Drosophila melanogaster: one gene and its partners. The protein of the gene in region 1 interacts with the protein of each later gene in a pairwise test. Each region holds a gene or a part of one and is shown on either strand. Other genes may lie near its edges. The genes, in order: Rca1, olf413, GstE10 and CG3448.

Region 1 (7,729 bases):
AAGTACTTACTTTATTCTGTAATTTAATCTGCTAATTGGCAAGTCCCAATAAAGCGTTTTTAAATTTGCACATCTGAGTTCAGCCATTTGTCATGTGCAATGCACGTGTCCTATTCAAAAAAAAAAAAGAAACTGGGATGGATGGTTTTGTTTTTTAAAATACAACAAAATCGCAATTGGCGAATCAATCAAATTTCGCAAATTGCCTGCTGATACTGCAATGTATCAAGTTACCAAAAAAAAAAAAGGAGCAGTTCAATTTTATTTAAAACATTTTTAATTTCCTAATACATTTTCGCTGATTGATAGGTATTTTTTTTTTTTAATATTTCTTGCAATTTATTGAGAGCACTTCTATAGGATTTCCTATCCTATTTTTCTGCAATTCATAGATCGCAGAAATGATTAAATTTTATCTGGCAGACTTAACTGCTCCTTCGACTTCTGGCTCGCCCACATCGTGAAATGCGAAAACATTAAAATGATAAATGAGTGCGATTATTCCCTTATTACCATCAAATTAATAATGCTCCTCTGGCTCTCAACTTTGGCCCGGTAATCAGTTTAATTTTTGTTTTCCTTTCGCCACTCCCAGGTAAAAGGACAAAAAAGCACGGGTAACCAAGCGATTTATTGACTAAAAATGAATTACCACGCAGTGGGCCATCATAAAACAGAGCAAATAGTTGGTCACTTGTAGAGAAAGTGCAAACGTTGAGATACCCTAGAAAGCAGCAACATTAAATCTTTCTAAACATAAGAAGTAAAAGTGACATTAAGATATTCTTCAAACTTTTTAAAACTAGGGAACATACATCCATTAACAACTCAATTTTAACAAGTTAACAACCTACGAAAGGGTAGCAAGAATGAGTACTCATATACTTATAAACCCACCGCCGAAATCAAACACAATCAAGCGAATTGGGTTCCGTTCCAGTTTGAGTTCCAGTTCGGGTTACTTTGCTTGCACAGCCATTTGAGTTTGTCCGTTCGTTTGGTTAAAAATAATCCGACCACTTCGCGTGGCCGCAAGGACACCCAGGATGGCCTCCCACCGCGGTAAACATCGTTTGTCAAATGCTCCGACTGCCCCGTCCAGCTCCAAGCCACGACAACTCACAATGCCATCCTGGCCAGCTCCATCTCCAACTCCACCCCATCCTCCATCCTCCACCTTCAGTTCCAGTTGCAGTGTGTCCAGTGTGGATGGGTGACTTCCTTCCTTGGTCGAAGGACTTACGTGAGTCGCGGCCGTGCGATAAAATAACCGGTTACAAAATATTTGTTGACATTCCGCGGTAAATTACCATAATTAGTTGATTCGAGCGACCGACCCATGTTTGATCGGGCTGTCATGGGTTAAAGCACCAATGGAGTGGAATGGGTGTGCGTGCAGCGACATAATGCCAAAACAGGGCACTGCCCACTGCCAAAAGGATAATAATTAGAGCATATGTACGGATTGAGTGCAAATATTGACAGGAGCTGCCCTTCCTTTCCCCCATTTGTCATCATTCCGGGTCGTTCTGGTGCGTAAACTCAAATTAATCAGCCGCATATCAATATCCGTGCAAACATAGCTCCACATCAAAACATATGTATGCATATATGCGCTACATATGTCGCGACCTTTTGGACATGGATTTGCCTTGCCTCAAGGATTTTCCCTCAGCCATAAGGAATTGTGTTCTGTTGACAGTAGTTTTTGGGGTGAAGGTTAGTTAGCATTCTCGAAGCAGGACAAGGCAAATAGATTCATGGTATGGTAAAGTCGCGATTTGTACAGGAAGTAATGTAAGTCCTTAAAGTAAAGTCAAGGAAATGAGTTGAGACTTATTTTTGAAAACAATATTTATGAGTGCAAGAGCACTACTTCATTATTCAACCAACAACATATTATTTCTAGCAAATCTTGTAATATTTTATATAATACTTTAAATATCATTGCAGTTATCTTCTATATACACCTAAGATAAATCAATGCCTAGCACATATCCCTAGTTCGACTCATTCGGCTCCCATTGACAAAGTCATTAGTTAACATCCCTCTGATCTCAAAGCAAACAGGGTGACCACGACTTCCCAGGACCGAACCAAATGAACCACAGATTAATCCCAAAGCCACGACGACAATTAATATGCTGCCATATCCACGCCCGAAAAAAAAAAAAGATGGGCAAACCGGTCAGTGGAAAAGAGATTAGAACAGTCAAATGACTTTAAATTAAGCCGATGTGCGTCTGTCCGTCGATTTAATTAAAATCAAAACAAAATCTTTGCCCGCCGACACGCCCCTTTTGGTGGCAGCAAATAGACAAATAATAAAACCATAAATAATGCAAAACAATAAACGAGCAAGTATTCATAAATTATTAACGCAGAAGCTGCTGGCCGACAAAAGGCAGCGCAAATACCCAAAATATTTTGCCAAAGCATTTAGAAGGACAATGAGGCACGAACCAGATGACAGAATCCGGGGTAGAATAGCAAATCCCCGCAGCAAATAATTGAGCCTCATAAAGGAAATATCATTCATTGATTTTCCCCCGGCAACCACAACAGATTCTCGACCTCTCATCTTTCCCAGCAAGTGGATGAAGTCGTCGGGCGGTTGCAAATGGTCCTTGGAATGGGAATGGGCACGAGCATGGGTTGGCCAGTGGTGGTGGGTCATGGGGCTTCATTTAGCTGACTCTATGGACAGCTGACGAAACTATCCACCTAGCGGCGAAGGAAGACTTTCACATGAATCCCAAATCTATGCCCCGTCATGATTTGCACAAAAAACTTGAGCTGGCAAATTTGTCAGTGGGCACAAAGGACGCGGCAAAGAAGAAGATGAGGGAAGCGGAACGGAAAAAATCTAAGGACGAGTCAGGGAGAACAAATGATAAATTATTGAGGGATTTTCGTTAATTTGATGACACTGATGATGGCCAAGGCCAGATTATCCTGACTGCCGAATTTTGATTGGGCCAAACAGGGAACAGAAGACATATCTCATAAAATAATTTGTAATGATTTCAATTTTAATAGATATAGATATACTTATGTTCGATTAAAATCTTTTTGTTATAGGCGTAGAAATTTAAATAGCACCATATGTCAGCTAATCGAGAGTATTTTTATAAGCTTATCAACATAATTTTACCAATGTCTTCAAAGCTAAGACGATGAAATACACTTTTAATATATATAATATAATATAATAATATAATATAATATAATAATATAATAATAATATATAAGATGTTAAACGGAATCCCGTTTTTATAAAGTGAATGTTTTCAAACTATTACTTATTTCCATATTTAATAAGTGAAAGTTTTCTATTTTCGAATTGGTATTAAAGCAATAAGCTGAGTATATAGGTATTTATTTTATACTTATGGCGTAAGGCATGGAAATATAATTTATTGAAAGTCAAATTCTTGGTGTTTTTAACTTAATGAACTGATTATACATATTATTTATCACTCTTATTCTTTATTTTACTTCTTTTTTCGAGAGCATTAGTCGCAAGTGCGTCTTCGCTAGCTTTGGAATGTGTACTCGCTAATATGGAAGTATGTACACACTGCATAGAATGAAAAAACGCTATCTTATTCCAGAACCTCAAATCTTGTACAGCTTGAACTCTTTTAGACATGTTTATAAATGGCTGAAGTTGCTTATGTTAATAGGAGTCTACGATTAACTGTCAGATTCCAATAATCCGATCAAGTGGCATCTTTTAATGCACAAGTTTAAATGGTTTGCCTAACAGTCACGATAATATATATCAAATGGTTGGCAACGCGATACGTAGCATTCTGAGTTGACCCGACAATGAACTGGTATCTATTTAGTAGCCAGTTAGTATTTTATTGGGGCGGTCACACTGATCCGTACCCAAAAACAATCAACCGATGCGAAAAGCATAACAATTCGAAAGTTTAAAATTCGGTCAAGATGAGCGCCTATTATCGGCGCGCGGCGTTGCGGAAGAAGAGCCCAAGCCGAGGGTCATCCTTCGAGTTGGAGATGAACGAGTCTGGCTACACATCCTTCCTGGCGCTGCACAATTCCACCGCGGAGACGCCATTTTTATTGGAGGACGCTGAGGGCGAAAACTGTCGCAATGCATCGAATACCACAACATTCTTTCGGGGGCTGAACACGCCCAGTGGCCACCAGGAGCAGGACCTTTACTGGGGCAAGCCCTATCCCAGAACACAGCCCCAAAAGAAATTTTCCGCGGAGGAGGAGCCTTTCTCTATGACTCCGCGTCTGCAGGATGAGCATAGTCTGCCCAAGCGACGCAAGAAACACTTTCAATCGCCACACAGTAGCCCCAAGAAGTCCAAAAAGCTGCTCTTTCCCCACATAGAAGAACCGCCCAAGAATCGCTTCTACGGCGGTGTCGAAAAGCTGGATATCGTGGCCAAGCTGGCGCAATGGCAACCGGCACTGCAGTGCATACTGCGTCATGTGGGCGCCCACACGCTGGACGTGATGACCAAGGTATCGCCGGCCTGGAAGCAGGCTGTTTATCGCAGCCAACGCGACTTGGAGCGCCTACAGAACCACCGACTCAAATTGAATCTAACCAAAGAGAATCCTCACGTGCCCAAGCGGTGCAGCCATGTGCCCAAGGCAAACCACACAGTGCCATTGCAGACCTCGAACCATAGCAGCCTGGCCAACAGCGCCGCCTCGCTAATGGACTCGGGCAACTCGAGCATCCACCTGATGGACGTGGATGCCGGAAGGGTGCTGCGCGAGCAGACGCAGCGCGTCAAGTGTCCGCGATGCGGTCGAGGCAGCCGGGTTTTCATAAGCGAGGCGGCCAAGTGTGGCGAAAACCTATTGTCGCAAACTCTGCCTATTGGACGTACAACCAGCACATTCCCCTGCATGACGGGTCCGCCTCTCAAACGCTTCCTGTCCCTGGATCTTGACGAGGTCAGGACTTCACCGCAAGGACCGCCATATAACTTCGCCGAATGCACCAGTGTCATCTGCCAGTTTCGGTTCTGCGTCAACTGTCTGTGCAAGTCGCATCCCGGCGAGCGTTGCCTGGTCACCGAACTGGACACACCATCCAAACTGATGATGCCACGGGAGCGACTGACGCCGCCACAACGTGCCCAGAACCGTGATCCGAAAATCACAAGGAAGAACTCGCTCAAGCGGCTCTGCTTTTAGCTTTATCATAGGCTTTTAACTATTACGATTAGTATTCGATTTTTTTAAATCTCATTAATTTCGTATTATGTCCATCGCATTAAGTTCCATTTCATCACGTACATTCATATATATGTTTTTAAATCGTTCCATGTAAGGTTTGTCGGAATTCTGTACCTCTGCGAGATTAAGTATTTTTTACACATGCAAAATATATAAATCATTTTTAGAACTATAATTGTTATAATTATAACTGGGGGAAAGTGATTCCTGTTTATTAACATGTAAGGCTTTGTTATTATACATCATTATAACAGGCTTCAAAGGCAGCCTTAATATGTTAGGCAAGTCTTAAAAATATTTTATTATTATTGATTGCATTGCATAAAATAAATTCAAACAGAAAATGTTTAAAATCAGCTGTAGTATACTGGTTTGGGTCTTGGCTAACGCCAATGCGCGCTATTTACCGTAAGCTACTTTGTGTACTGCCAAGAGATCTTTGGCCACACCAACAAAACACGTGTGGAGTGCGGTTGCCGCACATTTATTGTTCTCCGTTTTTACCTTTAATTAACTTGAGAAAAAAGGAAAAAACGATCATCCAAAATGAGTACTGCGTTGGCACAGCAGCTGCAGAAACTGGCTGCGCCGCAGTCGTCGGTAACTTTGGCAGATGCACGAAGTCGCGCCTCCATACTCTTCGATCCCAAGGAGGCGGCCACCAAGGATCGGCGGTCCATTTATGAGATCGGGTTAACGGGACTGCAGGAGCTGACCGACTTTAATCCGGCCTTCAAGGAGTTCCAGCTAACGTTGTTCGATGAGGCCACATTGACGCTGGAGCGTTCCGTGGAGCTGCCGGAGATTAACAAGATGCTGGACGCGGCCATTGCAAAGTTTCTGCGCCTTCTTTCGCCGTACCTTCTGCTCCGCCCCGCACACATGGCCTTCGAATGGTTGCTGCGACGATTCCAGGTTCACGAGTATAACCGTAGCGAAGTTATGGCCCTGATTCTGCCCTATCACGAGACAATGATCTTTGTCCAGATCGTTAAGACCATGAGGCTCCGGTCATCGGATGGCGACTGGTACTGGCTGCGCCCGTTGCAGCGTCCTGGCGTTCCGCTAGCCAAGACTGCTATTATTAACAGAGCCGCCAGCAATCCCGCCTTCCTCGGCTTCATCTGCCAAAGTACCCAGAAGGCGGTTAAGGAACTGGGTCCTCGAGCCCACCAACTGCAAGCCCAGATCAACTTCTATGCCACCGTCGTAGTTGGCGCCCTGCAAACGGCCAAACCACTGCAGGACTGGCACATCACCACTATTCTGGAGTCGCTGCTTCGTGGCCTGATTTCCGATAATATCGACTTTATGGCGGCCGCCTATGTGATCGTTGCTCAGCTTGTTTCCCGCACCAAGCTCAAGAGCAAGGTGTGCAATGCCCTGCTGGAACGCGTGGCCAACTGCCCGTTTGAGAGGCTTCACAGTGAGTCGCTGCTCCTGCTTGTCTGCATCTATGGCAAACAGCAAGCCGCATTGCCGCACTTTAAGCCGGAAACCATACTCAATCTGGTTGGGAAGAAGTGGCTTATCTCCACTCTGTCCTCCCTGGCCAAAGGCAACATCGCCATCCAGTCTATCTGCATGCCACTCATGACCGGAGCCGTGGCCGCCATTCGGGACGATGACGCCTCTTCTAACTCATGCAAACTGTTCTTGGACAACCTGCTGTCAGAGGTGCCAATGCCAAAGCCGACTGCTCAGCAACTGATCAAGTGAGTACTAGAAGTATCGATCGAAAATAATAAAAATAAGAGTTTATACACTTGAATTTAAAACGATTCAGCTGTTCCGATTTAAATAACATATATACTTTAACCATTTCAGTTGCTTTTTGGATACTTATGTAGAGACTGCGATCGATGCACCAGAGCCCATGGAAACTAACTCAAACGAAGATGACGATACCATTGTAATTGATTCGGATGATGAGATCGAGACGGAAAAGACCACCTTTCAAGCCTGGTATTCCACTTACCTCGAGAAGCTGGAGAGACGCTATCCAGAAGCTTTTGATCTGAGCGTTAAAGAGGCCTTGAGATCGAAATCCTCCACAAGCAATCGCCAGAAGGCCTTAAAGTTGGCTTTGGGTAAGTAAAAAATAATAATATTTATATATTTATTGTATATAATGTTTTATTCGATTGAAGGCTTCCGTCTCAACACTACTGATGAAAAAGCGAAGCACGCCTACGAAAAACTATACCACTACAGCGCTGACTGGCGACTTAGTGCTGTTCAGAAACTACTCCAGAATTTGAATGTGACTAAAAAGCGGGAGAGAAGCGTTAAGCTTCTGCAGGAATGTCTGCCCGATAGGATAAATGATGATAGCGGTGCTGTGGTCTCAACCTTGCTATCATTGCCTACCGAAGAGCTCGCCGAGATGTTGGGTCCGTTGCCTCTGGCTCAAACCCTATGTCATCTGCTGTATCGTGCTCAGTCCGAAAAGGATGAGGAATGGCAACCTGTGGTTCCCCTCGCTGTTCGTCACTTG
Region 2 (8,881 bases), on another chromosome or scaffold:
ACACTCCTTCGTTGTGTCCTGGCTTGTCCTGGGTCGTCCTGTTGCGAGCCCCGCATTTCGTGCGCCGATGGGGTCCTTTGTTGGGGTCAGGCATTCCATGGGTAATTCCTGTCGCCTGTTTTGCTTTTGTGCACATAATGATTTTAATAAATTAAATTAAATTTGTACACGTCAAACATGTGTCGCCAACAATGCGACTTAAATTGAGAGCCACCGAGTAGTGGAGTTGCGAGAAAGAGACCAACTGAGGTCCTGCCAAGTCAATAAAAAATTGAGCCAGCCCCCGTTCCACCCCCTCCTCCGATCAACCGAAACTGAGCAGCGACAACAAAAGTGACCCAAATATTTTGCAAGGACAATGCACTGGAGCACAATGCAAACAAGGGGCGTGGGGGCAGGTTGGTGGTGGCGCGGAGATATGAAGCGAGTCCTGAACAGGACGAACAGAACGAACAGGGACCGCAAGCGGAAGGGCGGGACGGTGTCTCTGGTCAAGTAAATAAACAAAAGTAATTGCATAAATTTATATAAATTAATGGAAATGCATCATGGAATTTGGACTAACGCCAAATGAAATTTAAGTGCTAAAGTTCCCAACTTTCCGTTTCTCGAGAGAATAAATTCGGTACGATTGTGTTTAAGTGAATGTTTGCATGTCTGCATGTATGTCTCTATGGGCAGCTTTTAATTATAGTGATTTTAAATTGCCTCTCAGGTAATTATTGTATATAGCTGTAAATTTCTCAGTTGCATTCTAATCCACAGATTGGTGAGTCCTATGAGGTGCTGATAACAAAGTTGGGGACTCTCAGTCTTTAATAACTAATAAATCAAAATCAATAGATCAAAAAGAAATCAAAGAGTTTGTAGATCATATATCCACTATCCAAGTCCCCGGTCTGACTATCCACCAATGATGGCTGGGCAATCTGTTCCCAGTGGACGGTGCAACCAAGAAACCTTCCGATTGGCGCGCTCACTCACCTGCACAGGTAACAGGTAGATCGCGGCCCTGCCCTTGGAGGGAGAGCGAGAGAGCAGGCTACTGAGGGCGTGAATTGAGTGCATACTATGAATACACACAGATGCCCGATGACTGACCCTCGCGAGTGAGTTATAGGGAGGGATGATGCGCTGGGTTAATGACCCTGGTCTTTAGGGAACACTTAGGAGCAGTGATCTTTCAATCTAGTTAATATGTTGATACCAGGAGAAATTGAAGACAGTATTAAAGATCATCACCATCATCTTTTGATTCTGTGATTTTCGAGACATACGGGCAGTGCTGGGCTCGGCAATTAAGGAATTCAGTCGATGCTTCATTCCGTGATTCGTGAATATTTATTGAATCTATGGTTTGCTTGGCCAAATTGGGCTTTTTAATCATATTTATCCGTCTGTAAGATCGCTAAAATTTCGGAATTTAAAAGAGCTAGAATCAATGAACTATTTGATTAAGTGGGGTTTAAGTTTACAAAAAATCATTCACTGAAAGCACTGAAAGTTCTTCACTAAAGTCTATACATTTTTTTTGCCTTATTATCAACTAGTTAATATTTTTGTTTTGCCAAAACAACAGCAACATGTGTATATCTTGTCGAGGGCATTAACTTGTCTCCTTTCGCACCCTTTGACCAATGGACCATGGTCACGAGACTAATCCCGATACAGTGGTAAAAAAGGGGCTTTCAATCTACAATTTATCTGGGATCCCGGGGCCATCAACTGATTGATTGACAAGCCATTTACATTAACTTTGACGAGCGGGCGGTGGAAGCAATTAAAGCCAGCCATAAACTGTCAACGTTTTTCTACGAGTGTGTCAAAGGTCAGCGGACAACGAGAAGAACAAAAACAACAGTCAGTGGCAGGAGGGCAAAAACAACAATGCTGTCAGCTAATTAAAAATGCACATAAAATGTAAAACAAACAGCGAGGAAACTAATGACTGCAAAATCAATACATGAAAAAGTGCGGATAAGGTGAGACAAAAAATAAATACAAATAAATAACTGAAAATAATTAATAATTTAAGAGCTCAAGCGCTCGCTGTCGGAAAAAATGGAGTATGAAAAAGCTGACGTAAATAAATTAAGGCGAAATGAATTCAAAATTCAGCGCGTAAATAAATAATAAATATCATTACGCTTAGTTAATAAAAAACCCAATTAAGGCCTCGAAAGATGCGCCAAAAGAGAAGTCCGTTTTAAATCACATTTTTCGGGCAGCAAGAACGAAATCGGAAGAGCGAGCTTCCGACGATCCCATGAATGAATGAATGTCATGAAGTCAACTAGGAAAAAGCACATAACACTCATTTATTAATGTACCATTTCAGCAGCCACCCACTGGAGTCTTCCACCACCCACCTCCCACAACGAGAGAGTCGAATGGCGAGAGAGAGCGGGAAATTCGACAGAAAATGAGTTGCGAATGGGGCATGCAATGGTGTGGGTGTATAAACAAAGCAGAGCCTGCTCGAACTTTAAAATTTATTGCTTTGTTCATAGGAATTTTGAGTAGTTTTCAATCAAGCCCAAAAAAAAACATGAGGAAATGTATGTATAGAAAAATTCTCACAAACGGTTCCTCTTAGCGTTTCTCGCTTGACCATCATTGACCATAAATTCATTTAAAGTACATTTTTTCAGAGTGTAATTTTTAGTTTTTTTTACACGTAAACGTTTTGAACTCTGTAATAAATTCTTTCGCATGCCATGCGCATTTGGTTGAATTTTGCTCTCAGTAATAGTGACATTGAAATCTTGTCTGTCAACAGAGCATTTTCCTGAATGTTAATGACTGGAAGCTGTCGAAAGAGAAGAGATGCTATGCTCTCTTTCGCTGTTAGCCCCACTGTTACTGTTAGCCGGCTGAATTGAAACTGGTTTTCGCTAACAGAGTTGATAGGATTGTGCGGTTGACAGTTGAATTCACGCAGTTTTAGGGCTTCGCTCAGCCTAATCCGTTGCTAAGGTATGGAGTTACTCACCCAAACTAAATGATTGCCCACAGGTGCAGTGCATTACATATTGTTAACAACCCGTTTTTGAGGGGTCAACTCCAAAGGAATTGCGTCAATGCATTAAATCCTATACACAAAAATGTTCTAAAACACGAGTTTTTAAAAATTCTACAAATTCACGTATTCAATCATTAGATAAATATATTTTTACTTATAAAATATCAAAAATGGAGGCTATTGATAACGATTTCTGTGAGCAGACGCTTTTCAATCATTTAACAGTTTGCCTTTACAGTGCCTTTGTTTACATGTTAACCTAGGACAAGAAACACGTCGCACCACTCCAGTGACAACAGCGGCCGTTACAGTCATTATTTTAAATGTTAATGGACCGTTCAATGCGCGCTAACTTTCTGTTAACACACGAGCCCTTAGTTTATGGGCCTGTTAAACGGTTGAATGTGAGTGCCGACTATTAACATGATTGTTTGCTTGCGGAATAAGTTCCCGTTGGGCGATAACTAATTTTACGTGTTGCGAATGGGATTTCAGCACAGAATAAACCTCTTTTATACCTTGTCTTTCAGACACTTTATAATCCCGGAAAGTATTCTCTGATTAGGATTGCTCCAAACCTGAGTAGTAACATTCAAATCCATTTGTATTTCTCACATGCATATTTTTTAATTTGATTATGATTAAACGTCCCTTGTCGAATTCTACGGGTGGTCGGGTTGTTTTGTTTGATTGGAAAATAGGCCGCGTTACAGCTACGAAAGTTGGATTTCTCACGAATCCACGGACCCATCATCGATAACTTCATTAGCCATAAAGTTTTTAGTTTTTCCATTTCCTGAATGACTTTCATATGTGGCATGCTAAGCAGCAGACGAAAAGTATAATTAATAAAGCTCATCGCTGGCCACTCCCCCTTCCGGTGGCTGAAAACAAGTGCCTTTGTGTAATGTTCATTTGCATGGCGCGCGGCACAAAAATGTTGTGTACATTGCGGTAATTAGGCTACGTGCATGGCATTTGAACCCTTTCAATTGCCGTCTGGCATTTCAATTGCGCTTAACAGATGCACCTGCCGCTGTTGGGAAAGCCCTGTTAGCAACTGGAGTTATGTAAACGCTAACAGAAACGCTCTCTTTCTGCGCAGAGAGCGGCTCTCTCTTTGCTATTGACTCTCCGCCGAGGTGACGTATTTTATTTTACAGTCGAACGCGAACCAGTTACTTCCGAAGTTTCCCAGCGAGCGGTACACGGGCGGGCGATTTGTCCGAGAAGTGAAACAAGTCAGCATTTTTAGCACGTCACGACGAGGCAAGCAAAATCTTAAAAGAAAACACGAAAAGGCGAGACAGAACTGTGCGTGAAACATTGTGCATCGTTGCGAGTGCTTCTATTCAAAGCACCCAGCGAAAATATGTAAATAAAACGTTGTAAGCTACAGAATAAGCCCGGTTTCACAGTGCGCCCCATTCATATGCAAATCGGAATCGGTGCCGCAAACTAAGCAGCACATAATTTGCGAATTAAATCAAAACACACATCGCTCCGTCTCGCTCTTTTGAGCCGGCATCCTGGCAGCAACAACAATTGCAGGACATTAAACGGACGCCTGGCTGAACGTTACGCGACGCGAACCGTTAACCGTTACGCTTCCGCTTTACGGCTTACGTAGCTCGCGCACGGGCCTGTGTGTGTGTGATTTGCGGATTTAACAATTGGCAACGGGGCGGATGAGAAACGCGATGCCGCCCACGTAATGTGTGCCGAAATTTAAATTGCACTCTATGTATACGACTGTGTGTCGGCGTGAGTGTGTGTGTGTGTGTGTGGATAACGATTACCATAAACGTAAACAAAGGGATTAGACGTTACGTTGCCGGGATTACGCCAGCAGTAGCGACAGACTTTTTCCGATAGCTGCAGCTTCCATTCTCAGGTGAGTTTCGTAAATGATGTATTACCTGAGAGGCATGCGATGTGGGGTGAGGGCGGGGCGGGGATCCTGTGGCGGCACTTGTGGTTGCTGTGTGTGGCATGTTAAGTGCAATCCATTATACAGATATGTGCCTTGCACATGCAGGTTTGCTCTCCTCTAGCCTCCAGCCTCTCGCCTTCTTTGTTGCCCTGTCCCTTTCTCCGTTCTGTTCTATCCTGTTTTTGATTCTGTTTCTGGGCTTGCCTTGTGTGTGTTTTCGGTTACCACAAAACTTAGCCTGCGCAAGTGTGTGTGATCTCCGCACGGAGTGAAGTGGGGAGTGGCGGGGGAGCCCCTTAATGCATCCATCAACTTCATTGGAATGCCATTCAATCAGCATTCCCTTTTTTCCTTAGAGTTTTTGCCGTTTTGCATTCTGCAGTTGCGCCACAAAAGAAAATGGGAAAAGTGACACACTTAGAGCGGGAAAACTGCTGCAGGTGCACAACTCATAGGGCGCATCATTTCGGTCGTTCTTCTATAACTTTAAAGTATTTCGCAAAAACATTAAGGGATCTATGGAGAAAGATTGTGGTTGAATGATGCAATTTAAATAAACAAAATATTTTAACGTTTTTCTTATCTGACAAAAATGCATAGGAAATAAAAACAGTTCATAGAAAACATTTTCAAAGGTTTTAAGTGGTGATTTTGTTGTGATCAATTGGATCAGCTGAGTTAGTAAACTCGTGTGTTAATAATGGACATACAAAAGTATGGTTCAATTACGCTCTTAAATTTTCCAACCACTAGCCTATGTATAATTTAAAAGCCCAAGTTTTGGATGGCGACCCGTTTGTTCGAGTTTCAGAATAGAAGTTTCACTATGCTAGTTCGACTGTCGAGAAATGTTCAACTTATGGAATATGGAAATTATAAAGATAAAGTTTTTGTTGTGCTCGGCTGGCAGCAGGAACCAAATTGAACATATTCGTTAGCCCAGTTCCGTTGGCAAGACGGGTTGGAGCGCCACAAGTTTTGATTCGGGGAAAGTTTCCGAGACAAGAATATGATAGCTTAATTGGAATTGCCGAATGCAGGCGAGCGCCGAATGCAACCAGAGAGCAAAGAGCGAGAAAAGGAACGGAGAGAGGGTAATTAAAAGTTTTGTCGGGATACTGTGGCCAATGTCGAAGGTCCCCGACGGCACAGAATTGAATACAATAGTGTACGTGTATACTGTACGTATGTAGACCATTTATCGAAGGGCTTTCCGGCTTAGCCAATAGTTTCCCTTTCAATAACCATCCGTTGCCTAGGCGGCCACCCCTATGCGATCCCAATCTGATCTGGAATCGAAATGCCACAATTGATTGATTCGATGCCTAATGAACAGCAATAAAAATTCATTTGGGCTACTTACGACCGCCACTTCAGGGTTCAGCGCCACCCTCCTCCACGACCAGCTCGGGCCACTTTCAATTGGACTTTTTTAATTACCAGCCAAACATTAAGAATTTTATTCTCGCTATATTGAAATATCGTATGCCGGGTATTCCCCGGCGCTTGTCATAAATATTTTAGCAGGTTCCCGAGCTCCAAACAGAGCAACACAAATATTTTAACCATAAAAATTGGCAGCCCGGCGGGAACCGGCAAAAAATCCTTTTTCATTGCGCTCCATGTATGTATCTATGCGTGTGTGTGTAATGTGTGTGCACAGGACGAGCGAGGTGTATGAAAAGATACAACAGTGGCAGTAAAGAAAAACGCATTTTCCAAAATATTTACACAGCAAAAAGGAACAACGGCAGAGCCGGTGGAGAAAACTAGAAAAAGACCAGAAGAGGCGCTCAAATAAAACCCAAATAAAATATGAAACAGGGGACGTTCGGCGGGCGGTAGGAGCTATTTTATTTTTCGGCTACAGTTTTTGTCGCCCGGCGATGTCCTCTGTGGGGGTGACTATGGTGTATCTGTATCTGGGCGAGCTGCAGTAAATAAATATACGCGTATCTCTGATGGGGATTTATGGCAATGAGAGCCTCGGTCCCGGCGCAGCTCCTCTTGCTCCGCCGCTGGCCTAGGACTTAAATAAATGATAGATTGAAATTTATATAGCCTATGGGCCACGTTGCGCTACCCGCTCGTTTCCCAGTTCATATTGCACATTTTAGACACTGCTCGATGGGTTTTGATTTGCTCTCGGGTGGCATACTAAAATCGGCGGCACATAAATTGACTAGGTAACTAAATCTATGATGTATCTATTTTCGCACCCGAAATTTCAATGCAATTTCCATGCTGGTTAACATTTGCCACTGCGGGTCGGCTGAAAAGTGCTCGAATCGCGGCGGGGTAAGTGAAAAATGTACCATGCTATTTCAGGGATTTATTTGCCGGAATTCGGTTGCCAGTCAAGAGGAATTTGGCCCAGAGATATTGTAATTCTTATGAAAATATTTCAATTCCTGTTTCCCATGTTTGTAAACAGTTGCATTGATATGAAAATCACTTTCAAATCCCATTTAAATGGCTGGGTTGAGCACCTGAGTTGAGCATCTATGCCTCGATGATAGAATGCTTTGTTTGCCTTGCATTTTCATTGATACATATTTACACAATTTCCAACAATGTTTCATAATTAATTTTTGTGCTTTGCTTTTCTATGCCCAACCCGACCGCACATTCAAAATGCAATAACAAAAGTATAACAGGGAAGCGGCAATATGTTTGTTTTTCCAATATTAAAACTTTGCCAAAGGGGGGCTGCAAAAATGCGATGCAATTTATATGAGCCAATTGGCCAAAGCAGCAAAACTGCAGCAATTGCAACAACTGCCACTTCAATGGGATATTTCGGCTGTGGAATTGCAATTTAAATCTGTATGTTCGTTCAGGTAAAATTAATATTAATTTTAATGAAAAGCAGTTTTAAACTGTATCCCGGCCGAGTACAAAAAGGATTGTTAATATGTAATACCCAGAGGAAATCCAAGGCCAGAGATGCGATCAAATCACAACCGAACTGAGGGCAACGAGAATTTGAATTGTGAATGGCAAGGCCCAGAGCTAAAATAACTTTATTTGCAAAAATGGGAATACAAATGGGAATTGAAGTTTGAAGAAAAGGATGCGAGCAGATAAAATGGACTGGCGCCGAAGTATGCAACAGTTGAAAAGCTTCCTGGAAATTAAATTTTAGCCAGCAATTCACTCAGCCATTTATTACTTTTTAAGTGCGATTTAAAGTCAGTCTGTCTCCCAAGTGCCTTAGACTGTGGCTTATTTTCTGGCTTCTGCGAGCTTTTCCAATTTCCCTGCAATTTTCCAGAGGTAACCACAAGCACAAACGTCTCCCCCCTTTAAAATAAATTCTCCCTAAATGGTTTCTCTGCTCATTTTCCTCTCAAAGCTGCACATGAGCTCTGCCTGCTGACTGTAAAATTAATTTCATATGGCAAATGGATAAGAAAAATGTTTTGCCACACAATCTATGAGAATTTTAGCCCAGCATAGCAAAGCAAGCGATGGGGAAGCGGGAAATGCCAAAAATGCTAAATAAGATGGCTCACATATCTAAAACCCCAAAGAAGCTTCAATAAATAAATACGTGTGTGTGCCCTCCTAGTCGGACGCCCCTCATCTCGATTCTTGGGAAGTCTGGTTTAATTTTGGGAAAGCGCACTCAAATGTTAATTTCATTTCCCGTTCGCCTTTTGTCTGCATTTCTCTGGGCCTCCGACTCAGTCGCAGTGGCGTCCTTAGCCGCTTCTGTCTCACTCTCATATGTATGTATAAAAAAAGATGATATTCGTATTTAATTTCAATTTCAAAGGATTTTCCATGTATTTATTCAAGGACTTTATCTTAGGCATAAATTACGGGCCAACGAACGAACGAGCGAGCGAACGGGTGCGGGCTCTCCACTTGGCTTTCCGTCTGCCTCTGGCTTTCACCTACTTTCTAGCCGAGCCCGAAAGGTA
Region 3 (8,152 bases), on another chromosome or scaffold:
TTATATCGTGCTTAAAACATTTTACGAAACTTGTGTATTTAATGCATTTCATTGCTGCTACATGGGTTTTTCTTCGAGTGTGGTCAATGCCAAACGTTTGTCAACAAATTTCTTTAATTAGCAGAGTATTAAAAATTTATGCAGCAACTCGATAATTGTGGGAAATGCTTCTTATAGAAGGCTCAGTTTGCCCTTCAGCAAGTCCACGAACTTCCTGGCCCCCACCCCATTGGCTTCCTCGTAGTAGGGCAACTCCTGGGCAACACCTTCAACCAGGCGGTGACCTTCGGATACTTATCCGACTCCAGGGGAACAAAAGCTGGCAGAGATTGACAGCAAAAATCAGCAACGGTCAGAGTTTCCCCGGTTATGTAGGGATTGTCCGCCAGGAAGGTCTCCAATTGGTCTCTCAATTTGTCATCAAGGATTTGTTAGGTGAGTATTTCACATGGGCTTAAGCTCAGTGCATCGGAGACTACTTCCAAAGAAAGAAACCGATCCGTTTGGGACTTTGGGACCAAAGTACGAGAAAATTGTTTCCATTGAGTTTTCTTGATAAAATACTTTGAGAGTTTTTTAAACAACATGCCTTGGTTTTGCGTAAATGTATCATATTCCATTTGTGATAAGTCTAATAATGCAAAGTTTCAATTCCATAAATTTTATAGTTTATTAGGAATTTTATGTAAAAAATAGTGTTTTTTTTTTTGCTCCGTCCGTTGGCCTCCTCGTAGTAGGGCAACCTCCTGATGCGCTGAGTCCAACCCGCCAACTTTGGGTATTTCGTGGCATCCAAATCACTGATTAGTATCGTACGTGAAAGCACTGCGATGACGTGGAAATCAGTGATGGTGTTGGGAACTTTCCAGCCAGAAAGTCATTGCTTTCCAGGAGCAGTTCAAGTGTCTTGTAGACCTCATCCAGTGCATCAAATCTAGCCTTGGGTATCTCTGTCTTGCCTCCCCCTCAACTGGGAAGCTCTCTTAAATTAAGAGAGTTTCGCTGTGCTGTAATGACTCGGCCAGTAAACCAAATTAGATGACATCAGCCAATATTTCCGTGCTCTTTTAGTTATCAGAGATTTTTGACGTAAGAGAGCTTTATATACGATTTTGGTTCAAAAGCTCTTACCGCCTGCTCTTTTTACATTCTAACAAACAATGCTTAGTTATCAGATATTGGTTATAACCCAGCAATTACCGCTAGCTAAATCAAAGTACTAAACTTATTGATTCACATGCATACTGTTGACCTCTTAGTAGTTTTAATAATAATTTAGTTTTACATATTTCTCTAAATATATAAGCGCCAAACATTTTTCATAAAAATTTCATTTAAAATCCATCAATCGTGTGCAAACTACATATGGTGATCCATATATCATATCTGCCTTCACATCTTATGCAGCAAACACAAAATAAACCAGTAGTTTCTCTTATCGATTCACTCAAAACAAGTTTGGACTGATATTAAGCAAAATTGTCGTACAAAAGTCAAGTCGTTATGATAATTGTTGTTCTTATTTATTTTTGTCTATACTAAAATGCCTTAAACAATAGTGAACTTTTTGCTCTTGATGAACTCGATGATTTGGGCAGCACGAGAGCCATTCGCTTCCTCGTAGTATGGCAGCTCCTTGATGCGCTTGATCCAGGCAGCCAGCTCGGGATACTTAGTGGCATCTACAGGCAGGAACACGAAAAATCCTGTCAAGCCGGCGATGACGTGGAAATCGGCAATGGTCAGGTTGTCGCCGGCCAGATAATTGCCATTCTCCAGAAACAGATTGAGGGACTTGTAGACACCCTCCAGGGCATCGATCCTCGCCTGTGGAATCTCCGTCTTGTTCTCCCAGAAGAGCGGAAAGGTGATAGCCCTTCCTGTCGAGGTCACCACGCTGGAGTCGTAGTGCAGACGCTGATCGACAATGGCTCGCTTCTTCAGATCCTTGGGGTATAGAGAATCATTCCGGCCGTACTTGCTCACCAGGTAGGAGTTAATAGCATGGCTGTCGGCCAAATAGAAACCATTATCATCCAGAGCGGGCACGGTGTGCAGGGGATTGATCTTGAGGAACTCTGGCTTCAGGTGCTCCTTCTCCATCAGATTGACGATCTTGTAGTCGAAGTCCAAATTCAAGGCTCTCAGCGTGAGCAGCACCGAACGGACCGGAGGACTACCGTCGATTCCGTAAAGCGTAAGTTTTCCCATGTCTGTAGTGTGCTGTAAGGCGATTGACTAGTAACTGCTTACTAAACGTCGAAACTTGGGGCTTTATATAGCCACCAGGTGGTGCTCTTCACTTAAGAGAGCTTTGCACATCTGTGATGACTCTGCAGTATGTCATACTCAATGCTTGGAACCCACATATCTCTTAGCTGTCGTATACGTAATATATATACACTTCACGTTTTAAAGCTTTACAATACAGAGCGCTTTTGGTCACATATTAAACATTTCTATTTGTTTACTCATCGTTTTGGGATTTAAAGACCATTGTCATAATTTAACCGATAAGCCAGTTGATTATATTAAACAGTGAAACAGCAATTTTTGGAAATTAACTATCTATAAGCAAAAAACTGATCATTTAAGTTTTTCCATCTATATATTTCTCTTTTATTATTTCTCTCTTTAGGATTCAGTACGTAATGATAGTTTTATTATGATTCTAAAAATGATAGGTTTTTGTTACAAATCAGTTGTAGTACTATTCGATTTGATTTGTTTTTATGGTATTTATGGCATTTGATGGTATTTTTTTTTTAATACAAATTACTATTGCTCCAGATTTAATACGGGTTTCAATAAATTGATATACTTCTTCAAGCCCCGCAGATTGTCTTCCTCATAGTGGGGCAACTTAGAGAGTCGTTCGAACCAAGCAGCCACCTTTGGATACTTTAACTCATCCAGATCAAGAACAGCGGCCAGCGAGGATGCAGTAGCTCCGCAGCATAAATCAGCTATGGTCAGTTGCGACCCGGTCAAATAGGGATTATCCCCTAGAAAGTTCTCCAAATGGCCATATGCATCTTTAATGTTGTCCACCTTCTCCTTGGGTACCAGGCTTACTTGGCGAAGAAAATAGGGTATACTGACATTTCGCAGCGACATAAACAGAATGCTGGCATCAAAGAACAAACGCTGATCCACCTGGGCGCGCAACACCAGATCCCTGGGATATAGCTCATCCGAATTGGCATACTTGTCCACCAGGTAGCAGACAATAGCATGTGAATCCCAGATAAGGGCACCATTATCTTCGAGGAGTGGTACGGTGTGCTGCGGGTTCTTTTTGAGGAACGCATCCTTAAAGTGATCTCCTGCCAGTAGATCCATTTCCTTGTATTCGTAGTCCAAGTTTAAGGCCCGCAAGGTCAGCTTGCAAGCGCGAACAGGAGGACTAATATCCATGCCATACAAAACCAATTTATCCGACATGATGCGATCACCAGAGAGACCCAAGTTCCACTAAATTTGCCACACACAGAAATCTAAACGAGCTTAACTAAACAACCCAATTGGGTGCGCTGAGCTTGCCCCATTTGTATCTTAAATAAACTTTTGTAATTGTACACTGACGATATCATAAATGAGCGATAAAAATATTACGGTCGGGTTCCCCAACTGTGAGATAATAATTACTGACTCAAGTCCCATATTAAAGTTTATAAATTTCAGTATTTATTATAAATTCAAATATTTAAATAAATATAAATTAAATAAAAAAATAAATTAAATATTTTATATATATGTTATATTTTATTGAAGAAGTTTACGTTTTAGAAATGGATGTGTATGTTGTTAATTGATGGAATTCAAACTTGTGAAATGTCATATTTAAATATAAGTTTAGTTTCACTTGTCGCCCAGCTTGGTCCACTTGCTGCGCAGGAAGGCGACGTAGCTCTGGGCCGGAGCTTCGTTGATCTCCTTGTAGTAGGGCAGCTTATTGAGGCGATCCAACCAGGCGGTGACCTTGGGATATGTAGCAGGATCTATGTCCACGGCAGCGGGCACGGCGCTTACAGTGGGTCCGGTGGACAGATCGGCTAGGGTTAGCGAATCGCCGGCCAGGTAGGGGCTGTTGCCCAGGAACGTCTCCAGCAGCTTCAGACCCTGGTGTACGGCGTCCAGTTTTTCCTGGGGCACTTCGGTAACACCGTTTATCCAAAACGGGCGGCTGACATTGGCTATACTGGCATAGATTACACTGGCATCGAAGAAGAGACGCTGATTGACGATCGCACGCTTGGCCAGATCCTTGGGATACAGCTCATCCGACTTGGCATACTTGTCCACCAAGTAGGCGGCAATGGCATGGGAGTCCCAGATGAAAGTGCCATTATCATCGAGCATCGGTACCGTGTGTTGGGGATTCTTCTTCACATATTCCTCGCTCAGGTGCTCGCCCGCCTGAAGATTCACCTCCTTGTACTCGTAGTCCAGATTCAGGACCTTTAGGGTAAGTTTGACGGTCCTCACACAGGGACTGAGATCTGTCCCATAGAGTACAATTCCAGAGCTCGACATGATACGTGTTGTTTACCCGTCAGTGTTTTTCTTTCGACTGATCTCTCTATTTACTGTACATATATACACACCTTATTGCCTCAAGCTTTTTGCTAAATGAGAGAGCATTTCGTAAATCTAAGATAAAAGCTCGAAACCATGTGTTAAACAGTTAAAAAAAAACCATATATATAATATGTATGCCTATTTCATCATAACAAACATTAATTACCCCCAACTGATAGTTCTGGAATCATCTATATGATACTAATTTTAAAACACCATATGCAGTGGTGAACTACAAAAAACATATACTCATCAAAAACAAAGTAGGTCTCTGTGAACTCAGGAACATTGGTTGTCAGAAGAAATTAATTTAATACAGTTACTTGTTTTATGATTTATTGTAATATACATCTATTTGAATCATGTAGAACCCATGTAAATTTACAATTCAAGTCTTCCTAACGAAGCTTGAAAGTTTCTAAAAGCTTAAAGCTTAAGTTAAGCTGGCATAAAGCTTATCGTTATTTTGGATAAAATTGTATGATCTGATACACAGAAGTAATAATATTAAACTCATAATTTTATAATTATATTTATATGAAAATGTTTGCATAGAAACACTGCTAATGAGTCTGGTTACTTTAGGTTTCGTTTGGACGTTTCTAGCAGTGTATATAAGTAGCCCCTTTGGTGCTCCAACTATGATCAAATAAATCACGGGGACATTGATCAAATATTGACACAGCTAATAGATAGCAGACCGACTTATCCCGGACATTAATAAACAATCAGGCAAACTTAAACTTGCAGCATTATGACGTCTTTGTGGTAATTATCAAGAAACTAAGTTTAATATCTAATCTTATCGCGTTTGAAAGAAATTTAAATTATTTAGACTGCCTTGAGTCAGTTGTGGATGGCACACTGTCTGCTACGAATCTCAATTCAACCAGCTAGAAGGCAATTAGTTAAGCAACCACAATGGCTAACCTGATTCTATATGGCACTGAGTCCAGTCCGCCGGTCCGTGCCGTTTTGTTGACCCTTCGTGCCCTCCAGCTGGACCATGAATTCCATACGCTGGACATGCAGGCCGGCGATCATCTGAAGCCGGATATGTTACGCAAGAATCCCCAGCACACGGTACCCATGCTGGAGGATGGTGAGTCATGCATTTGGGACTCACACGCCATCATCGGCTATCTGGTGAACAAGTACGCCCAGTCGGATGAGCTCTATCCAAAGGATCCGCTGAAGCGAGCTGTGGTGGATCAGCGGCTGCATTTCGAGACCGGTGTCCTTTTTCACGGCATCTTCAAGCAATTGCAGAGAGCTCTGTTCAAAGAGAATGCCACTGAGGTGCCCAAGGATCGTTTGGCTGAGTTGAAGGATGCCTACGCCTTGCTGGAGCAATTTCTGGCGGAGAATCCCTATGTGGCCGGTCCTCAGCTGACCATCGCCGATTTTAGCATTGTGGCCACCGTGAGCACTCTGCACCTGAGCTACTGTCCCGTGGATGCGACCAAATACCCCAAATTATCCGCCTGGTTGGCACGTATCTCCGCATTGCCCTTCTATGAGGAGGACAACTTGAGAGGAGCCCGCTTGTTGGCCGATAAGATTCGCTCCAAGCTGCCCAAGCAGTTTGACAAGCTGTGGCAAAAGGCCTTTGAGGACATCAAGAGCGGAGCTGGAAAACAGTGATGCGGAAGCCATTGTCGCATCGAAAAGAGAGCATTGCCCAAAGTAAAATTGTATGTTAAATGGTATTTAATATGATGTATTAAAACTTACGCTGCTGGCAAAATGATTTAAAATGTATATTATGTTTGAATAATCTTCTTTTTTTCCCAGTGTATAGGCTCACTATATACTGTTCTGAGTTAACTGAAGACTTTGTAGCCATCTAAGTGCTCTTGGCCGGTAAATGTCCTTGATGGCGAACATTTTTTTTATGTTGTATATAAATTACTATCTAGCGTGGAGTGCATTTCCAATGGCAACGCAGCCAAAAGTTTACAACTTTTTTGCGCTCATTAAAATTATAAAATTTTACCCTCCACAAAAGCGACACAAAATAGAAGAGGGCGGGGTAAATGAAAAGCGCAAAGTTTTCCTGCCGTGTCGTGCATGCTAAAGTTGTTAAATCATAATTAATTTATGACGGCGCCATCCGCCCAAGCAGCTAGCCAGCCCAGCTCCGCAGCAAACCCAACTCGCCCCCGTTTTATGCCACTTCCAAATTTGCCTCTTATCTGCGCTCGGGTCTCGAACTCCCCGCCCTTCGCTTGCTCCAAGTCCACAAAAAGGACGCGCCGTCGTTTAAAATACTCTTAAAAAAGGAGCCAAGTCTAAATACCTGCTGGGTGAAGTCCGTTTCCAAGCCCCACGGAAGTCCTGCAGGAGATGCTAACGTGAGCGGAAATTGGAGTCACGCAATCCGAAGATATTTCTTATGAAGCAAAAATTCCAAAACTTTTTGTTTTTATTTTGCAGATGTATGGAAATCTATAAAAAGTACATGAATTTTCCATTTGTTTCTTACTTATTTTCAATTTCTTCCCTACTTATAAACCTTTGTTGGCCTTAAAACACAAATTTTTTTAAAGCATTCCCTTCCTATTTAAGCCCCAAAGAAAAGAAAAAAAATCATAAGCTTTAACGTTTTTAGAAACTCGTGACTACTTTGTGGGCATCTCAGGAACTTACCTTGTGTCGCCGCGTTTTATGCGCCTCATTGCAACGGCGACGAGAAAGTGGTGGCAGGCAAACTAATTGGTTTAATTTCAACTTTTACTTTGGCCCAACCAGTCAGCATGCCACCCCTACTTACCCCAAACTCACCCCATCTCGCCCCGTCCACCAACCAACCCCCACATCCTTGCCAGCATGGCTCCCCGAAAATTCCACCCATCGTGTCAGTGGCATTTGAGAAGTTTGCTTTGCTTTACGCTCCGCCTGCCACTTCAGGACGCTTTTACTTTTTCTTTTTCGCTTCTACAGGATTCCACTTGGCCGGTTTATTTCCTGCTTTTTATTTTTTTTTTTTTATTTTGCTCACCGTTCTCGCATCTCAATTTATCCTAGTTTTCATTAAATGAACAAGCTGATTCTTATATTTCTAAAGAAAATATAATACTCGGAAGCCATTTGAAAGCTCGTTTACTATTTTAAATGAAATTTATTGCAATCCATGCATATTTCACAAAAATACACTAAAAAAGTAGAAGGATAATTGTGAAAGCTAGTAAATTTTAAATTCAAAGCAAATAGCTATTCTTTTTATAGCTTAAACTTGATGCTTCGCAGAATGGGAAATTTTTCGCCAGCACACTGACCACGAAAATCATCCATGGACAGGTCGTGGAAGGCCACTCCGCCCAATCCTTGGGCATGCACAAATCCGGCCTTAATGGCCGCCGTCAAGGGATCCTCGTAGCCCACCCATAGGCCATTCTCCCCTTGATCATCCGCTGCCCGGTACGCATAGATGCCAAAACGCTTGGTGGGATCGCCCACTTTGCGCAGATGGGGAACCTCGCGATCCTGTGGTTGCTGCTGCAGCAAATCACAAATCTCCGGCCAGCTAAGCAATCCTGGCGTAACAGTTTGCCTTCCCGGCGGTGCAGCT
Region 4 (7,337 bases), on another chromosome or scaffold:
ACCCAGCATGCCAAAGCTTATTATTGACGAGCACATGATCAACCACGATGTTTTAAGCGATGGCATCGGCAACGAGTACGTCATCCTACCCGATCCATTCAGCGCCTCTGCGGTCACGGATGTGGAGGAGGTGGTTAATGCATTTATGGGCGATGTCAAAGGCGAGGAGGACAGCCAGCCGCTAAGTGAACAGTTGATCTATGCGGAAAACCAGTTGGAAGAAGCTTATGGTAACATCGAGCTTATCGAGAACATGCCGAATAATGTGGAGCTGATACAGACACCGGGACCAGGTCCAGCCACTGTGTCGGTAGCGCTATCGAAGGTCAACGGATGTGTACCGAATCCACAGCCGGCTCTCCCAAAACTAGTGCTCCAGAACAGCAGCACCAATGTGCGACTGAAAAGTGCGGGAAATCAGTCAAAGGTGACAAAGAGGCAACTCACGGCGGCGGCTCAGGTGGCGACACCAAATCCCCCACCGCCACTAGTGGCTTCCAGCAATCCAGCCCGACCCCAACGACCCACAATTGTAACCAAATTACCGACTGCAGTGGCCAATCAGACGGCTGGTAATGCCATGGGAGCAGCTGGCGCGGCCGGCGAAGAGGATGAGGAGCCAAAGTTTCGCTGCACCCATCGCGGCTGCAACAAGGAGTTTCGCAACCACTCGGCCATGCGCAAGCACATGCACACGCACGGACCGCGCGGTCATGTGTGCAACGTCTGCGGCAAGAGCTTTGTAGAGAGCTCCAAGCTAAAGCGCCACCAGCTGGTGCACACCGGCGAGAAGCCCTTTGAGTGCACCTTTGAGGGGTGCGGCAAGCGCTTCTCGCTGGACTTCAATCTGCGCACCCACGTACGGATACACACTGGCGATAGGCCCTACCACTGTCCCATTGATGGCTGCTCCAAGTGCTTCGCCCAGTCAACGAACCTCAAGTCCCACATGCTGACGCACACGAAGCCCAAAAGGAAGTGGCCGCGCGCACCGCAAGTGAGCAACAACAAGACACCGCTGGTGGCCAGATACGGGCGACTGGAGTTTGGCGAGGATCCTCGTCTAGTGTACGTAGAACAGAACGAGGAGGTGGCGTCGGTGCTGCTGGATGGCACGTCCCTAACATCCTAACTAGTAGTGCGCTTTAATGTGTGGCAGGTATTGGCATGAGATGGTTAAAATATTAAAGCTCCTTTGGCTCCGGAAGGCATTATTGTACAGTTAGTTGTAGCCAGTTTTTATCTGTATCTGTAACCTGTAACGAGCGGAGCGGCCGGACAAGATTGTCACCTGGTGAACACATCCGCCCGCTGCCCGCCCTTTAAGTAAGTAGTGTAAGTTCATTCTCTAACAAAATAGGATTGCAGTGCAAAAGGAAGTTAGATGGTAGCCATTAATTAATTTCCTTCACGGATGAAGAGCAGTTCTAAGAGTTTAGCTTGTACCGTAGGCTAAGTGAGTCCCCCCGCAAAACCAAAACTGAACCGTAATCCCCGAAGAACTCAGCCAAACTGTCACCTTAAAAAGCCCCAATTTGATCTGATACTAATCGTGTGCGATCTTCGCTCGAATAACAAAACGCGCACTTTCTTTTCTACGAAAACAAAACAAACAAAAAAATAAGAAAAATACACAAAACTAGTTTTACCATATTCAATACGCATACACCATAGGCTATCTATATATTTTTGTAATGAATTATAACACTTAGAGCATTGAAGTACGGATTTAGCATGTTCAACGTCTGTTGGCGCTAACAATAATTCACAAATGGAAGCACATCAGTTAAGTCGGAATAAACAAGGGAAATACCTCTTCAAAATTAAACAAAAATAAACCAGGAAAACAATGCAACAACACTTGCGTATATCATTTATCATTTCTTTTTTTAACTATTTCACAGTGCGATTGTGTAAGCGTTAGATTTATTAACTGACTTTAAACTTGTAACTACTGCTAGATAACTACATTAAACGGTGAGGCAGCTATTGATGGACAGTCGCCGGGTGTTGTCCACTTCAGATTCGGATCAGCAAGCGATTAGATCGCCTCTTTGGACATGTGTCGCCTACAGCTACGTTCCATTCATTGATTGCGGTGTATAAACGCGTGCGGATTAGATAAAGCATCGCGGCGAGGTACAGATACGCGGCTATTTTGGATATTGGAACGGAGAACAGTACACACGATTGGTCTGGGCATGGTCTGATCGGTATTTTAGGTGACCTTGAGCCCATGTCCTTGAACTCCGGGAATAATATCCGCGATGGAGGCACTTGTTGGGCCAATCAATCCGGCCAGCGAGAGCAGCACGGAGTAGTTGAAGTACCAGAAAACGCAGAAGAGTACCATGAAAATGACGTCTGCAATGAACCGAGAGCAATAATAACCCTGATAAGCGTATAAATTCTCCAGAAGCATGACGAATCCGTCGGATATTCCCAACTAGTTCGAGGGTGTGCTATTTTATTAACAGCAATTAACACTCACGTATCGTTATCCGCTCCCACTTTTCAACCATGTACAGCTCGGTGACCTGCAAGTTAATGGGGTTCATTTAAATCAAAATCCCGTGGAGCGCAGCTTCTCAGGTGGAATATGTGCGTAATTTTATGACCATTACATACCATGAGGTATCGAAACCACCAGTAACTGGCGAATTCCACGAGGTTGTCAAGCATTGCGGGTGCCGAATCGAGTAAAACACTAAAAAGAGGACAAACAATAGGGGTGCAGCGCGTTTAATTTGTTTAGTTCCTCCTACTGGCTGTGTACTAACTTAAACACGGTTAATCGATATCGCTGTCATATCGATAATTTGGACCGCCTAGTGCTGCAAAATGCGTGTTTAATAAAATAAAATATTAGAATGCTAATAGAAGGGTTGTATATCGACTGTTAAAGTTAATTAGAACTTAAATATTTGAGCTCTCGGAAATATTTGAAGATGTATTTATTTATTTAATTTTACTGAAAAGAGTACATATACGTACACTTAAACGTTCGCCATAAGCACTCTATCAAAATTACATACATTTAATCAATCTGACAACTCAGTTGTAAACAGCTGTTTTAAAAACCCCGCAACAGTTGTTTACATTTAGTTGTGAAACTAAAATATTGCCGAACATGTCCACCTTTGTGGTTAAATTACTTCAACGCTCTCAGCTCTCACATAGTCAAATAGACGTAAAGCCGTTTATTTATGTCCGAAGCAAATGGATGGACGACGACGTGGAGTTTGACATCCTGACCACTTCTGACAATCAAAACTACCGGTCAATTGTAAAATACGATGAGTTTCGAAGTGGAGCCAGTGAATTGGAACAGGCCTACGATGCTTTCTTTGCGGAGTGCAAAAGTGCCGTAACTACGCACATGGGACTCCAAGGATTTGATTATGAAATATCCATGGAAGATGTCGAAAAACCAGCGTTCAAAGTGTACAAATGCGAAGGATACGAAACGCTGTACTTGGATGTTCCGCTTAGAAAAGTCTCCAACTGCTACCAGATGCTGGATGCAGCCATCGAAGCTGGTCAGCAGAAGCCACAAGCAGCTCCAGCCACCGAATCCGACGCCCAGACAACCGCATCCCTGGCTGAATATGAAAAGTATGTGAGGGACAGCAAGCTGAAGGAGGAGGAACTTCTCAAGAAATTCCTGCTGCTTTTGAACAGCAAAAAGGCCCACATCCGGGATTTAGAGAGTCAGTTGGAAAAACGATCCGGGAAAGTATCAAGAGCAAAGAATAATCAAAGGATTTTTTCTGATGACGAGGACGATGCCTACGGAGCAGCTACTCAAGTCATGAATATAGATAACGACTCAGATTAAGCCCCTTAGTAATATAAATATTTAAACAAAGACGAAATCGGTATGTGCTTGAAATGTATTTCCATTTTGTTTTAGTTTTTCTTTTCGATTTTGTAAAATAAATTAGCTTTATAATGTATGTATAAATAAACAACAAATAGACTTGTAACGTAATACATTAAATTACCATCAATGTGTAGACGTGGCTTACAATTAGACCAACAAAAGATCGCTTGTTTTTTTGGAATATAATCAATAGTTATCGTTGCTGTTTTTGTAAAAAATAAAAGCATTTTACATAAAGTGTTACTATGTATCTGCTATCAAATAGACGTTACGGATAAGTATGTTAGGGTGTGTATAACATTTGAAAGAGTAAACAATTAGAGCCGATGATGGTGCTGGCGGAGATCACTCAGAGCGCGAGCAGATCCTCTTCGGCGCCCGGTTTCTTTGGTGTCTTTCGTAAGCTATCGGCTCCTGCCGATCCTGTCGTGGCACTGGCGGCGGAGTTCGATGCACTGATCGTTGGAAGATTCTCGGCGGCAGCGGCTCTCTCCTCTAGGAATTTGTCAAACTCCGAGCTGGTCAGCTCCTCAATTCCCTCGATGTGCTGTGTGGTGGAAACAAATGACTCATTAGTCATATTAAGTACTCGAAAATGGATGACAGAAGCTAAGAAGCAAAGGAATAGTATGTAAATCGAGAAACTGAAGCCGAGTGCATGGTAAGATGAGCTTAGAAAAAGACAAAATGCTATTCGAATGGCTACTTACTGAGCTGCCCAACCACGCCTCCATCTCGTCGATCTCATTCTCTTTCGTCGACTGTGTGTGGGCGCCAACCGAACAACAAAACGAAACGAAAACCAAACGCAATTTGCATAGAACAAAAAAGAACCAAAACATATTTTCAAATTTAGACACATAGTGTAAATCAATGGCGAAAACGAGGTCAAAAGGTAAGGGAACAAATCGAACGCCATTAGTTAGACCGGCTGTCCGGCGGCTAGTTACTCACTTTACTTACCACCGGCGGTTCGCCGGCTGAGCGCTGTGCCTGCTGCGGTTGATTTGGTTTGTAAGGCGAGGCGGTGGCAGTCACACTCCCAGCAGCAGCGTCCACCGAGGGAATGTCCCGCAGCAAGTCCGATTTACTAAAAAAAGAATTATTGTTAATACTTGATGAGCTCGATTGGAAAGCACTCTTTACTGACTGGTTGCCATCGGTGCGCGACTGTGCCAGCATATCGAATTCATCGGCAGGTCGTGCGCTCCTCTGCACCCCAATGGGTGCTCCACCACCCAGGCTGATCTGTCCCAAACTCTGTGGCAGTTGGGCTTCCTCGCTGCTTTCGATTAGATCGATCAGCAGTTGGTCACTTTGCGGCGTATTGCTCACGGCGGTAGTTGTGGGCGGAGGTGGTAGCGTAGCCACCGTGGTGGCTCCTGCTCCAGCTGCTCCCACACCGGGCAGGCCCATGGCTGCGCCCAGCACAGCCGAGGGCGAGGTAACACCAGCACCCTGGCCCTGCGAACGATTTTTCTCGTAACGCTGGTGGCGCAAGAACACATTGTTCAGCTCGTCATTGATGCGCAGGAACTCCGCGGTGAGCTCGTCGTCCTGGACACGTCCAATCAGATCCACGATGCGAGACTGCATCTCCTTGCAGGTCGAGGTGAGCTCATTGAGCAGGGCATAGTCATCGGGCGACTCCTGGCCGGGCTTCAGAACACTGAGCATCTCGCTGAGGATGGACATATTGTTGCTAACGATCTCCAGTTCGGAGCGCAGCTTAGCCGCTTGCTCGGGAGTCAAATGCAAAGGACCTGTGCTGGGTGGAGCTGCGGCTGCAGCTGCGGCGGCAGCAGCGGCAGCCATGTGTTGAGGCGAGATTGTGTGCTGCTGAGCGGCCACCAGCTGAGGGGGCATCTCGGGAACACTCTAAAAGGCATATGAAAGCATTTATTATGGTTAAAGTAAAGAGGATTCCTCAGCGACTCACCCTCTGTGGCGTGTAAATGGGTGCCATGGCATCCAGATCGTTGGCTGGAAACTCGATGCCCTTGTTTTTCAATTCCATGTACATCTGGGTGACGCCGTTGAGATCCGGTTGGTTCTTAAACGCATCCGCCCAGATTTGTATCAGACTGAGAACCTTCTCCTGCATGGCGGCTGGTGGATCGTTCTTGGGCCCAATCAGCTTGACCAGCTCGTTGATGAAGTCCTTCTGGGCCACCAGGACATGGAAGGCCTTGCCGCAGTTCTTCACGCATGTCTCCAGGACGGTCAGCGTGTACATCACCACCTGGTTGTTTTTGCCGGCGTTCTGGGAGAGGCGTTTGCGAATGGCACGCATAGCATCGCGTGCAGTGTCGGAGGATTCGTTGATCATGTCGCAGATCTCCATGTTGGCGGCCCAGTTCTCCGAGGCCAGGTTGGCATCGGTGGCGGCCTCTGAAAGGTGAGAAGGTAAGTATTAGTTGACACCTTAAGATCTTTTTAAATCTATCGTTCTTCCAGAAAAAAAAACTGCAACAATATTTCATGTAATATAAATACAAAAACAAAAAAGGTATCCCTATTTTTTTTTTTTAAATTTGTATCTTATTTCTGAAAACGCTCGTTACATTTTAATTATAATAATATATTTAATTATAATTCCAAGTAAATTGTGCGGTTTTTGATCCGAAAGATGTAATTATTTTTTTCGTTTTCTGTGTGAAAACCCAAGTAAACAATTTGCATTCCTTTGTTTGTTTTTATGGGCGGCTGAAACTGTGTTTTTTAACAGGTGGGCGAGCATTATCTTTCGTTTATAATTTAGGATCTACCAAGTGCAATGACTTGCTCGAATTAAAAATGCACAAAGCAATTTGTTTAAATCCAAAACGAAACCATTGCGCAAAGTGTATTTCTCAGATATCAGATATCGTAACACTGATATCCAACAGATATAGGAGATATGGGAAAAGCTAACCAACCGCAATACAATAACAAAATGTGAGCTCATAAAAAAAGCGAAGCAACAAATTAGTACGGCACTAATACATATGCACGATTGCACGTAAATGTGTGTATCTGTGTTTGTTGTGTGTGCAGCGGCAAATGGAAATTATGGCGAAAATGCGAGCCAAAGGGGAACACGAAATAAATTAACACATTTTTTTATGTAACCCAGCGGCCAGCGGCAACGATGACTAATTGCGATTACTAAGGGCGCAAAACAGGTGGCCGCCAGGAGGGGGTGAAGGGAAAACAGGCAATCAAACAATAAAAGAGCGCATCAATAACAATACTCTTTGTGTGCGTGCCAAAAGGTGAGCAATTTCATAAAGCATACCAACAAACATTTATCTGATTTGTCACACCTGCCTGTTGGAACCGCATACTCATATAAGGGTTAATCTTATCAGAGGCCCACCGTTGTTGCCACCGCCTTTCAAATCAAATCAGACCGCTTTGCCATAGTAATGGTCTGGCAACAACAAATGAGTATCGCTACATGGAAATGTGCGCG

Evidence for each region.
Region 2: the proteins of Rca1 (region 1) and olf413 interact in a two-hybrid assay, tested with the Drosophila melanogaster proteins (one large-scale study listed by BioGRID).
Region 3: the proteins of Rca1 (region 1) and GstE10 interact in a two-hybrid assay, tested with the Drosophila melanogaster proteins (one large-scale study listed by BioGRID).
Region 4: the proteins of Rca1 (region 1) and CG3448 interact in a two-hybrid assay, tested with the Drosophila melanogaster proteins (one large-scale study listed by BioGRID).

Annotation. Positions count from the first base shown.
Region 1 is NT_033779.5:6,848,468-6,856,196, forward strand, and holds Rca1 (regulator of cyclin A1), read left to right. Parts: upstream 1-3,847; 5' UTR 3,848-3,954; coding exon 3,955-5,190; 3' UTR 5,191-5,399; downstream 5,400-7,729. Other genes in the region: l(2)k09022 (lethal (2) k09022), read left to right, coding at 5,779-6,947, 7,060-7,322, 7,383-7,729.
Region 2 is NT_037436.4:22,131,894-22,140,774, forward strand, and holds the start of olf413 (olf413), read left to right. Parts: upstream 1-4,196; 5' UTR 4,197-4,916; intron 4,917-8,881.
Region 3 is NT_033778.4:18,394,816-18,402,967, reverse strand, and holds GstE10 (glutathione S transferase E10), read left to right. Parts: upstream 1-4,575; intron 4,576-5,166; 5' UTR 5,167-5,349; intron 5,350-5,399; 5' UTR 5,400-5,502; coding exon 5,503-6,225; 3' UTR 6,226-6,330; downstream 6,331-8,152. Other genes in the region: GstE3 (glutathione S transferase E3), read right to left, coding at 1,549-2,211; GstE2 (glutathione S transferase E2), read right to left, coding at 2,779-3,444; GstE1 (glutathione S transferase E1), read right to left, coding at 3,862-4,536; Idgf5 (imaginal disc growth factor 5), read right to left, coding at 7,804-8,152.
Region 4 is NT_037436.4:9,447,325-9,454,661, reverse strand, and holds CG3448 (uncharacterized protein), read left to right. Parts: upstream 1-3,089; 5' UTR 3,090-3,130; coding exon 3,131-3,838; 3' UTR 3,839-4,117; downstream 4,118-7,337. Other genes in the region: phol (pleiohomeotic like), read left to right, coding at 1-1,132; ghi (ghiberti), read right to left, coding at 2,219-2,364, 2,492-2,537, 2,629-2,682; CG3529 (uncharacterized protein), read right to left, coding at 4,233-4,430, 4,594-4,644, 4,838-4,973, 5,034-5,761, 5,823-6,274.